Elephas maximus indicus: one gene and its partners. The protein of the gene in region 1 interacts with the protein of each later gene in a pairwise test. Links are inferred from orthologs where the notes say so. Each region holds a gene or a part of one and is shown in the gene's direction. Other genes may lie near its edges.

The links.
Region 2: the proteins of CDR2 (region 1) and ENKD1 interact in binary tests that used the Homo sapiens proteins (3 or more experiments, as listed by UniProt). The two-hybrid records come from large-scale screens. The link is inferred for Elephas maximus indicus from reciprocal best matches to the Homo sapiens genes CDR2 and ENKD1.
Region 3: the proteins of CDR2 (region 1) and FAM161A interact in binary tests that used the Homo sapiens proteins (3 or more experiments, as listed by UniProt). The two-hybrid records come from large-scale screens. The link is inferred for Elephas maximus indicus from reciprocal best matches to the Homo sapiens genes CDR2 and FAM161A.

The regions. Positions count from the first base shown.
Region 1 is NC_064830.1:82,439,860-82,443,604, reverse strand, and holds the start of CDR2 (cerebellar degeneration-related protein 2), read left to right. Parts: upstream 1-1,466; 5' UTR 1,467-1,740; coding exon 1,741-1,819; intron 1,820-3,745.
Region 2 is NC_064839.1:34,136,326-34,140,070, reverse strand, and holds the start of ENKD1 (enkurin domain-containing protein 1), read left to right. Parts: upstream 1-1,010; 5' UTR 1,011-1,024; exon of another isoform or gene 1,025-2,422; coding exon of another isoform or gene 2,423-2,832; exon of another isoform or gene 2,833-2,936; coding exon of another isoform or gene 2,937-3,149; exon of another isoform or gene 3,150-3,493; coding exon of another isoform or gene 3,494-3,710; exon of another isoform or gene 3,711-3,745. UniProt on the Homo sapiens protein: Microtubule-binding protein which regulates microtubule organization and stability. Promotes the stability of astral microtubules and facilitates the proper orientation of the mitotic spindle.
Region 3 is NC_064844.1:481,871-485,615, forward strand, and holds the start of FAM161A (protein FAM161A), read left to right. Parts: upstream 1-1,517; 5' UTR 1,518-1,627; coding exon 1,628-1,810; intron 1,811-3,745. UniProt on the Homo sapiens protein: Involved in ciliogenesis.

The DNA.
Region 1 (3,745 bases):
CTCATTGAAATTACTGAAGTCTTTATTCATTTGTATAGGACAACAACATAGTTTGAGAATCTTTAACTCCTTCCGCGTAATTTCCCTTATTTTTTAACCACAGTAAAGTGTGCACAGTGACCCTGTAGTACAGGGTATCACTGCCCCATAGGGTTTCCAAGGAGCGACTGGTGGATTCGAACTACCAACCTTTTGGTTAGCAGCCAAGCTGTTAGCAAAGCACCAGCGCGCTCAAGAAAATCCTGTGAAGCCCTTCTCTCTGTAACACGTGGGATTGCCATGAGTCAGAATCAACCGTACGGCAATGGGCTTGGTTTTTTGGGTTTAAGTTCTTCTAGAGATAATCTTTGAATAAAACACTTAAACCTCAATTTTTGTTCCATAAACATAAGATAGTATGTTGACTTCCATTCTGTCAGACGCTGTCTTTCCCTCCTTCTTTCAACTGTGCCTTTTACTTTTACATTAAGGTTGATGAACACTGACTTTCTGGTCTGTCACCCTATATATGTATGGGCTTCTGTTCTTTCTCTACATGATGATGCTAACAGCCGAAAACCCCTGTGCAGCACTTGCTTGTTACAGCATGTCTGTGTGAACAGCGTCCACGCCCTGCCAGCATACTAGTGCTAGGGCTGCATTCTCTCCCCTCCTGGTGCAATGTCATGACCTCAGATGCTTAACTAGTGGTCTACTAACCTTTTATATTCATATGCAAACTGTAATTTTTTTTTTTTTTTTCCTAAGGAGATAGCTCCAACGGCACCTCTTTGCCCAGTAGATTCTCAAGTGGTGCTGGGACGTACTGCTTTACAGGGAGCCAGTAAAATTCCCAGCGGTGTGGGGATGAGTACACAGACGTTAAGGGAAAAAACAGCTAACACTCCGAGGGTATCTTCCTCGGCCTCAAATTCCCGATTGACTCTTAATTTCCCCGCACCAGCGAGGGCAAACCTGGGAGACAAAAGACAAGAACGGGCAGGCCAGGCAGGGACCTGGGGCTCCCGGCCCCCTTCGCGCCTCCCGCCTGCATGAAGACAGCGCCAGACCACCGCCCACTGCTCAGTGCCCAAACTCCTCGCCCTCATGCCCAAGCAGCCTGCCAGCACCCTTCGGCCGCCGCGTCCACTGGCTGACTGGCCGGCCGGACGCACACACAGGAGCAGCCGCCCCAACCCCTCCAGGGACCCAACTACTCCCAGAAGCTCCACTACGCAGAGTGGCGGGCGGGGCATCTCGGCCGCACCCCTTCTCTTTTTCCCGCCTTCTTTGTTTCTTCCGAAGGCGCCATTGGCTGTTTGCCCTTGAGACCGGTCGAGCCGCGGGCAATTGGTGAGACCCGATTGGACTAACTCGCCGCCGCTCGACCGGCTGCCAGCTTGCGATTGGCCGAGGCGCCGCCTGGGGTTTGAATCGCAGCCCCGGTCGGGGAGGGTTCTGCCAAAGTGCCACGTTGGGCTCGGCTGCGGCGCTGCGAGCCGGCTGGGGCGCCAGCCGGGGCCCCCGCTCGCGCCGGGGCGCCGGCCGTTGGGGCCACGGGGCGGTGCAGGCCAGCCGAGAAGCCCATCCGAGGCGTACGCTGCAGGCCGGCGGGTGGCTCTGTTCCGGCGGCGCGGCGGGGCCGGGGCGGCGGCGGGTCCCGCCCGCCGGAGGGCGGCTCTGGCTGAGGGCGGAGGGCCCGGGGCAGCGGCTGAGGCGGGACGGCGGCGGGGACCGCTGCCCCCGGAAGACGCGGCCGAGATGCTGGCGGAGAACCTGGTGGAGGAGTTCGAGCTGAAGGAGGATGAGCCGTGGTACGACCATCGGGACCTGCAGCAAGGTGAGGGCGAGGTCGCCGCGGGTGCGCGGGTGCGCGGGCGGGCGGTGGTCTGGCGGGGGGCGCTCGCCCCGCGGCGCCGAGGGCTGGGAGGCTCGCGGCTTCTCCCGGCTGCGAAGCTGTGACAGAGTTGCCTAGGTGGCGGCAGGGTTCGCGCTCGCCTTGCGTGGAGTCCGGGGGTTCCCGCGCAGCGCGCGGGAGGACGCCTGTGCGAGGGACCCACGGCCGGGCTTTTTGCGCAGTGATAATAGGAATAATCACTAATAGTGCCGCTGAGTGCGCTGTATGCCTCATGCGCAGTTTAAAGCGCTCTCCATGGATTAATTCGTTTAATCCTCCCCGCAGTCCTCGGAGACAGAAAGCGGCACAGAAAAATGTGCCACCCACCTTTTCCAGGCTCCTTACTTCCTGCGGCCCCTGTCTAGGGGTAATAGTCACGCGTCTAGTGACCAGTGCTGAGTGTCAGCTGCTGCAGTTAGTGGTGGGACCACCCTGTGGCAGGAACGGTGGCAAGCCTTCTGCAGACATGCTCTCGTTTAGTTCACACTGTAACTCTACGAGGCAGGAACTTTTGTTACTCCCATTTTCTAGATGAGGAAAACAGAGGCCAAAACAGTTAAGTGCCTTGCCTACAGTAGTGCAGGAGTGTTTTTGAACCCATGCGCTCAGAAGTCGTAGTCATTGCCCAAACCCTATCCCTCTGTCTTACCACCCAGTTTACTTTTTTTTTCTGTTGGGTGTTAATTTTTTTTTAAATGTTTATTTATAGCTCACCAGATACCAAATGAAGTGACTGAAATGTGAAATGGCAGGCACCTTTTTTTTTTTTAACTTCACCTACTTTTTCAATTTGCCGTTCAGCTTTCAGTTAAAAACACATTCCTGTTTGGCCTGCGCTGGATTTCTTGCTGATGCTGCCTCGGGAGAGCAACCTTAGAGCAGCCCTCAATTTGGAGCCAGTGGCCCTTTTTGGCATAATTACTAAGGAGCTGTCAATTGGGAGAATACTTACATGTGTCGGGCACTGGCAAACCCTTAACATACATGCTCACTTAATCCTCCCCAAAACACTATGGAGGTAGAGGTAGAAGTAGACACTGTTATTTGGGGAGCTAGAATTTCATTTCACATTCCAGAGAAAACATTCTTAACGCCTATACTGAGTGGTGCAGTGGTTAAGCACCTTAGGCTGCTAACCAGAAGGTCAAAGGTGGGAATCCACCAGCGGCTCTGCAGGAGAAAGAGGTGGCAGTCAGCTTCTGTAAAGATTAACAGCCTTGGAAACCCAGTGGGGCAGTTCTACCCTGCCCTGTAGGGTTGCTATGAGTCGGAATCAACTCGATAGCAACAAGTCTTTTTTTTTTAATACTGAATAATCCTCAGGAGTTTTTTTCCAGACATCTTCTGTTTCTACAATTCAGTATAAACCCATTTTTTCAGCTCTAAACTACAGTGAAAATTATTTAGTTAATATTAAATGATCATGATGCCTTTTCATGGTAACCATTGAACTTGAGGGGAAAAAAAGAAATGTAGATTTGAAGGACTCATACTTAAAAGAAGAAAATAAAACAAGCATGTCTTCTTTGGGAATGTGATTTCTAAAATCAATATGCTGTGAACAATCACTTAAACCAGAGTAGTTCAACATTACTCTTACACAGTATAACCAAACCTGTTGCCATTGAGTCAACTCCAACTCATAGCGACCCTACAGGACAGAGTGGAACTGCCCCATAGGGCTTCCAAGGCTGTCACCTTTAGGGAAGCAGACTGTCACATCTTTCTCCCCCATAGAGCGGCTGGTGGGTTTGAACCTTTCGGTTAGCAGCCAACTGCTTAACCACTGCACTACCAGGGCTCATTTTATACAGTATAGTCCAAGGTATTTAGCAATGCAGTAGTTGCCATCATGTTCTCTATATCCAC
Region 2 (3,745 bases), on another chromosome or scaffold:
CCTCATGGCCAAGTCCTAAGATTCCTCCAAACAAACGTCTTTCTTCAGAGAGCAGGACTCAAGACTCCCTGAGGAGGCCCTGTGAGGCCCACAGTTACAGGGAGACAATTTGGGGTCAGGAGGGAGTTCTGTTCTTCAAATCCTGGAGTTGGCACCAAGGGAATCTCAAAAGAGAGGAGGTGAGGAGTACTTCCAGAGAAGCTGGAGGGAATGGGCTGGAAGAGGAAGGGCTCCATGCATTGGCCCTTGGAGTGGTTTAGCTGAAAGCTGCCTGGGCCAGCCAGCTAGTTAACCAGCCAGCCTTTTATGAACTGTGTTCTACACAGGGATAGTCATTTTTACCATGTAAGTCAGAGGTGGGGTGAGTATTGGGAGAAGGTCCTTCAATCCCTTTTGTTCTCTTGTCTCGCTTTGACAGCCTGCCAGGATTGTTAAGCCTGGACCAATCTCTGTTCCCTTCTCTAACCTTCCCTCTCTGCTCTGCCCTGGCTCCTTGCCAGAAAGGCTTAGGAGGGCTTCCTTTTCCTTTTGGCACCCCTTATAGAAGTCACCAGGCTTGTTTTCCTGTATTGTCCTGGTTGCAAATTATTATCCTTTTGAGATAAAACAATGAGTAGTGTTGGACTGTGTTCACTGCATGCTGGGCCCTCCCAGGGTAGACACTTCATGTACTTTATTTTAATCTCTAAACAACTCTATGAGGTAGTATTATTAATATTCCCATTGTTCAGATCAGAAAATTGAGGCACAGAAAGCCAAAACTACTTGCATTGTATAAGCTATAAGTGATGAAGCCAAGACCCAGTCAGGACCAGTCAGAGCCTAACCCTGAACTACCCATTTCTCCAGCACTGGTGAATTCTCAGACTCTTGACTGCACATATGTTGCTGCCCCCACTCCCACTGGGGTATTCAGCCAGATTGTTGCCTTCTCCCTATAGCTGGAGTCAGCCTGGCCTGAGCTAGGAGGTGGACTGCAGAGACCCCACTGCCAGGCAAGATGCTGACAGTGAAGAGTTAAAGAGTGAGTGTCTACCCACCCTGCTCCTGGGAATGATGGTCACAGCTCCAGGTCTGTCCCCTGGTGTCCTACTAGGTCCCTCCTAAATTTGGGGATTTACCCAGAAAACAGATATCCATTGGGCCTGACTCAGATGCTTCTGCACAAGAAAGTGCCATGTTGTTGACTCAGAATGGCACTTAAGTTTTTAGAGGAATCTGCCGCCAGCTCTTTGTTTACCAAGGCAGATTTCTAGATGCCCTGGGGCCACTTTTATGAGCACCCCTGGTTCTCTGGAAACACCCCCAGAACCTAGATCCATGACCAGAGGAGTAGGAGGTGGGCTTTGAAATGGCGCACATGCGTGCCTGTGGCCAAGGAAGCCAGCAGGGTTCTGGTCCCTAGGGGTGACTGAGCCTGCAACTGTGGTTCCAGGCTTGTCCTGCAGTGGCCCCTACTGGAGGAAGGTGGCATCACCACCTCCCAGAACCTATTTCCCAAATCAGGATGTCAGCCAACTCTTCCTCTGGTCAAAGTAAACAAGGTTTTACCAGGCCAGTGAAAATACGTTGAACCTCTTAGAGTTTTCTCTCGGAGCAGCAACCAGGTGAGCGCTTCCAAAATACTTGTTGCTTACTATCCAACTCCAAACCAAATCTAGGCCTTGTACTCACCTAGACAATCACAGCCTCCTCACCTCCCTGTCCCCAGTAACTTCCTCCTCATTCTGTCCTTCACACTGAAGCCCAAGCAATCTCTCCAGAATGTCAGGCTGAGATCCTTCCTTGCCTATACCACTTCCTGCCAGGAAAAAGGCATGGACACTGCTGTCACCAGAGGCCACTCCTTGGGCAAGGTCTGTTCCAGTTGTGGCCTGGCAACAAATGGAAAGTGTTCCAAAGTCTGCCACTCTTCAGACAGTCATATGAACTGTGCCACCTCAGAGGGGGGTTCCTAAGTGCTGGTCCACAAATGCAAGTCAGACCAAATACAGGTCACCTCCCTGGGAGACAGGGAACAAGGGCAAGTCCCTATTTCCTGTGGCCTCACAGACCCTTTCTCTGCTCCAAGTCCCTCCTTAGTCACTTCCCCCTTGATCCCTCACTGTCAGCCTGAGGAGCTTTTAACTGCATAGAATCCAGGCCCCACCCCTCAGATTCTGATTCAGTGAGATCTGGGGTGGTGCCCAGGAATCTATTTTTGTCAAGTTCCCAAGTATTCAGATGATCCGTTGGGCTTTAAACCAGGCACTGGGTAATCTCGCAGTCTCAGAAAATGAAAAAATGTTTATTGTCAGCAAGCCCAAGTTTCCAGCAAGTGGGGGCATGGGCCAATTCTACCTTCCACCTGAGGGCCTAGGCCCAGAGGCTGCTGCTCTGGTTCAGGCTTGGGGGGAGGGGAGCCACCAGTGGGGCAGGACAGTCACTTGTACTGAGGAGAGAGCGGGGGCACAAGCGGAGCAGCACAAACACTCAGCATCTTGTTGATGTCCACCTGGTTTGATTTATCCACCTCGGCCGTGAGCCGGCTGCTGACCCCCAAGCTGGGCAGACCCCCAGGTTCCTCTCCAGCCTCCTCTGCCAGGGGATCCAGAATGTGGGTGGGAGGCACTAACATTTTGGGGCAGGGAAAAGCAAGGTCTAAGCCCAGCTCACCTGCCACGGGCGGCAAGGCCTGCAGTTGCTCCACACCCGCCTCCATGGGGACCAGGGCCAGCTCCGACTGGGGCTCCACCTCGGCCTCTGCCTCCCTACCCCCTTCCCCTGCCTGGTTCAGCTCAGGGTTGCAATAGTTGATGTACTGGTACAGGGGTCGAAGGCGCTGGGCCTTTCCTGAAAAGACCCAGGATAGGGCAGGGCTGGAGCACCAGGCTGTGCCATGTTTTAGGGGGACCAGCAGGCAGGGGAGAAAGGGGAGGCCCAGGGCTGCCACTCACGCTCTAGCCCCAAGGTCTCTGAGGAGGCAGACACGGTGCTAACTGTAGCTGGGAGTGCGGGGGCCCCCAGACTCTTGCGCTTCTTAGGTTTTTTGTGCTGTTTGGAGGATGGTGAGTGCTCGCTACCTTCTGGCTCCCCCTTCTGCAGCAGCAGACCCAATGGCAGCTCAGCTTCGGCCCTAGGATGGGCATGGTGACTAGCCCCTGGGGAGGCTGGGGGACCACAGCCATGGACGGGAAGCCTGAGGAGCCAGCCTGTGCCCCGTGCCTAGGGGATAGCCCTGCCTGCCCACCACCCAGGCCAGATACCTACCACTTTCCTGGTCAGTGAGGGCCCCCAGGCCAGCAGGGGCCCAGAGCATATGAGCTCAGTCCCCTCCAAGACCTTCAGGCTCCCTCTCTCTGGGTGCTCTCTAACAGGACTCTTGAGGGACAAAAGAGGTGGGAAGTGATGGTGGTGGCAGGGGATAAGGGTCTGCCCTACAGGAGTGCAGGCTTTAGGAATGCTGGGGTGTGAGCCCCACTTCCCATCCCTGCAGCCCCTTCCCTCTGAAAGCCCCCTTACTTGACTGGCTTTCTCTTCAGACCATGACTGGGCCTCACAATGGAAGCTAGGGGTCTGGGGCCTGTCTCCTCTATAGCATCCACGGCTGGCTTGAGCCTCTCCTCCTGGAGCACTGGTTCTGAGGCTGGTTCTGTTCGGCACTTATCTTCACCCTGGGTCTGGCAGGTTTCAAGGGCTGGCACTAGACATTGGTCTCCTGTCACTGGACACTAGAGGTGACACATAGGGTATCGGTCACCATGAC
Region 3 (3,745 bases), on another chromosome or scaffold:
GGAAACGGGTTCGAGACCAAGCGCCCTGCACAACCGAGGAAATGCCAGAGCTCCAAGGCGCTGACAGCCGTTTAGGGCCGGTGATAGAGGAGGCTAAAGAATGGGGCTGGGAAGTAGGGGCTTGGGTAGCGGGTGGCTGAGGCTCTGCCAGGCCCCAATGTGGAGGGCACGGCCTTTTACAGCCTCGTGGCGCACAGGGAAGTCGCTGCTTGACGCACACCAACCCGGGTGGGAGGAGTTGGGTGGGTTGGGTTGTCAGGTGGGTGGGGTTGTCGGGTGGGAGGAGTTGTTGAGTGTGGGAGGTGTTGTCGGGTGGGAGGAGTTGGGTGGGTTGGGTTGTCAGGTGGGTGGGGTTGTCGAGTGGGAGGAGGGGTTGGGTGGGTGGGGTTGCCGGGTGGGTGGGGTTGTCGGGTGGGAGGAGTTGTCGGGTGTGTGAGCAGACGGGGTGTGTGTGTAGTCGCTGCCGGGCACCCGCGCCTGTCGGGTGTGTGAGGAGACGGGGTGTGTGTGTGTGGTCGCTGCCGGGCACCCGCGCCTGTCGGGTGTGAGGAGACGGGGTGTGTGTGGTCGCTGCCGGGCACCCGCGCCTGTCGGGTGTGTGAGGAGACGGGGTGTGTGTGTGTGGTCGCTGCCGGGCACCCGCGCCTGTCGGGTGTGAGGAGACGGGGTGTGTGTGGTCGCTGCCGGGCACCCGCGCCTGTCGGGTGTGTGAGGAGACGGGGTGTGTGTGTGTGTGGTCTCTGCCGGGCACCCGCGCCTTCAGCCCCGCGGGAGCTCGGCGGCTGGGTGGCGTTGTCGGGTGTGTGAGGAGACGGGGTGTGTGTGTGTGTGGTCGCTGCCGGGCACCCGCCCCTTCAGCCCCGCCTGAGCTCGGCGGCTGGGTGGCGTTGTCGGGTGTGGGTGCAGACGGGGTGTGTGTGTGTGGTCGCTGCCGGGCACCCGCCCCTTCAACCCCGCGGGAGCTCACCGGCTGACGGCGGGCTCGCACAGCCACCATGCCTGTCACTCGTTGGTGGGCGGGCCAGGCACCGCCCACACTAGGCTTTTATTGGTCACTCATGAGCGGGCCAGCTAGCGGCCTCCTTCTGATTGGCCAGCTGCTGGTAGCGGTCAAGTCAATCAGAAGAGGACTTACGGCGCTCGTTGGGCTCCTCCGGCTCCCGGCGGAGCTGCGTGAGGTAGCCGCGGGGCCGACCTGGCTACCGTTCCGAAACAGCGGCCCTGCTCTACTCCTGCACCGCTGTCATCCCCTCCTAACACATTATTTCAATTAATAACAATAAAAATGCGCTGTTTCTTCACAAAACGAGTTGCTTCGCTAGCAGGATGCGAGCAGTGTGCATTCAAGCGGCGAGACGCCCGGAGGGGAGGCGGCGGCCTGTTCCTCCCGCTGACCTTCTGACCCGCTCAGCAGAACCAGCACCTACTCTCGCCGGCAGGCGGCGCGCCCGCGTCTCCCGGCGCGCGGCTGCTTTCCGTGAATTCTGGCCCCCCGCGGCCCCCGTAGCGTCTCTGATTACCGCGCCCCTGGTAACCGCCTGCCGCGAGCGAGCCGCCGGGGGCCGGGGGCCACACCAGCTTCCCCGTCCCGGGCCGGCGCGGGCGCTGAGGCCTTGGCGGGGCGGCGATGGACGCCTCGCATGAAGCGGCGGGGCTGGCGGCCTCCAGCCACCAAACCCCGATAAACCCCAACAGCGGGGTGCGGGTCGCCCGGTACAGAAGGGAAGACCTCATAGAGGCCCTGGCGGCGGCGGCGGCGGCCTTGGAGGAGGCGGAGCAGGAGAAGACGGTGCCGTCGGCGCGGGCGTCGGTACTGCGGGCTGGGTGCAGGGCGGGACGTGGGCTGGGTGCGGGCTGGGTGCGGGGCGGGACACGGGCTGGGGGCGAGGAAGGTGCGGGGCGGGACGCGGGCTCGGTGTGGGGCTGGACGCTGGCTGGCTGCGAGGAAGGTGCGGAGCGAGACGCTGGCTGGGTGCGGGCTCGGGCTGGTGTGGGTCCCCTTCCAGCTTAGGGACAGGCTGGGAAATGCGCTCCCCTGTCTAGATCTTCCTGGAAGGTAATTCTCTGCCCAGTGATCCTGGCCCACAACCTTCTCTCAGCCCCCACGAAAAACACCCAAAACCGAGGCTTCCAAAAAGTCTTTTAATTTTCACCAAAGAGGTTGCAGTAAAAGTTTCTAGAAATTATTTCTAGAAAGAGCAAAGCACAGAACTTTCCTCCTTATGCTTTGGTGTTCCTTGGGAACGGATACAGTATTTCCTTTAAAAAAAAGAATTTGAAACCTGTGTTAGTCATTTAGTGCTGCTGTAATAGAAATACCACAAGTGGATGGCTTTAACAAAGAGTTTATTCTCTCACAGTCCAGTAGGGTAGAAGGTCCTTGTCCTCAGTCTCCCCATGGTCGGGGAACTTCTCAGGCGCAGGGACCTGGTGTCCAAAAGAGGCGCTCTGCTGGTGCTGCTTTCTTGGTGGTATGAGGTCCCCAACTCTCTGCTTGCTTCTCTTTTCTCTTGAGAGATAAAAGGTGGTGCAGGCCCCACCCCAGGGGAACTCCCTTTACATTAGATCAGGGATGTGACTTGGTAAGGGTGTTACAATCCCACTCTAATCTTTTTAACATAATATTATAATCACAAAATGGAGGAGCACCACAGAATACTGGGAGTCATGGCCTAACCAAGTTGATACATACGTTTTGGGGGGAACATAATTCAATCCGTGACACTGATCTCCTCCCATGAAATTGAGTTGATGACCCATGAAAACTTAAGTGAATCAGCTAAGCTCTCAAGTGTGTTTGGTGGATCTTAAACACACTACTTTAGAGGCAGGAGTTTAAATCATCAAGAATTTAGTGGATAGACCAGACACAGATATAGATAAGACCAGAGAAATAAATTACTGAGGTGCCAGTGTTTCCTAAATGGCCTTCTGGATGGAGCAAGACAGCCTTTTCACTGATCAGTTTTCACTGTCACATGTGTCATGGACACCTGTCCACCAGGTGGAGGGCAGAGTCTGCCATCTGCTCTCTTCACTTAAAAGATGAGAACCTTGCAGATATAAAACTCTCCACCAGATAAATCCTTTTAATACTATATGTCTAAAGCTTCTCACACAAAAAACATTTTGGTGTAGGGCTGTTAGAAATCACTGGATACTTGGAATTCTGATGTCTTTACACTACAGCTGTTAATAAGAAATCTGTAGCAGCACCTTTTATGTTCAGTATTTCACCAACAGACATAAACTGCTTGAGGCTGTCCAGAGTTGGGCAGATCGAGACCCAGCACAGGATCAGAACACTAGGACCATATTTGCTCATGATAAAGCTTCCAGTCAACACAAGTTGCAGTAGGCAAGCAAGGGAATAGAGGAAGAAGACTAAATGGAGGACAAAGCTTTGGAGTTCTGGATTAGAGTTTGGGCTCTATCTCTTGCTAGATGATGCTAGGACTTAACTTCCTTAAGTCTCAGTTGCCTTATCTGTAAAAAGGACTAGTGTAATAATTCTCTCTCTCTCCTGTCTCAGTGACTGAGAACCAAATGAGAGAATGTGTGTCATATCTAAAGACATGCTTATATAAATTGGCAATCATAATAGCAACTACCCATGGGACTGTCATTGCAGTGACTCACCCAAAGATGAAATTTTGTTTTGGCTTTCTGTGGTAGAGGAGCTAGTCATTTCTCTGGCTGCACTTATACTTCCAGAGTGTCCTGATAAACTGTAAATTTGTATTAG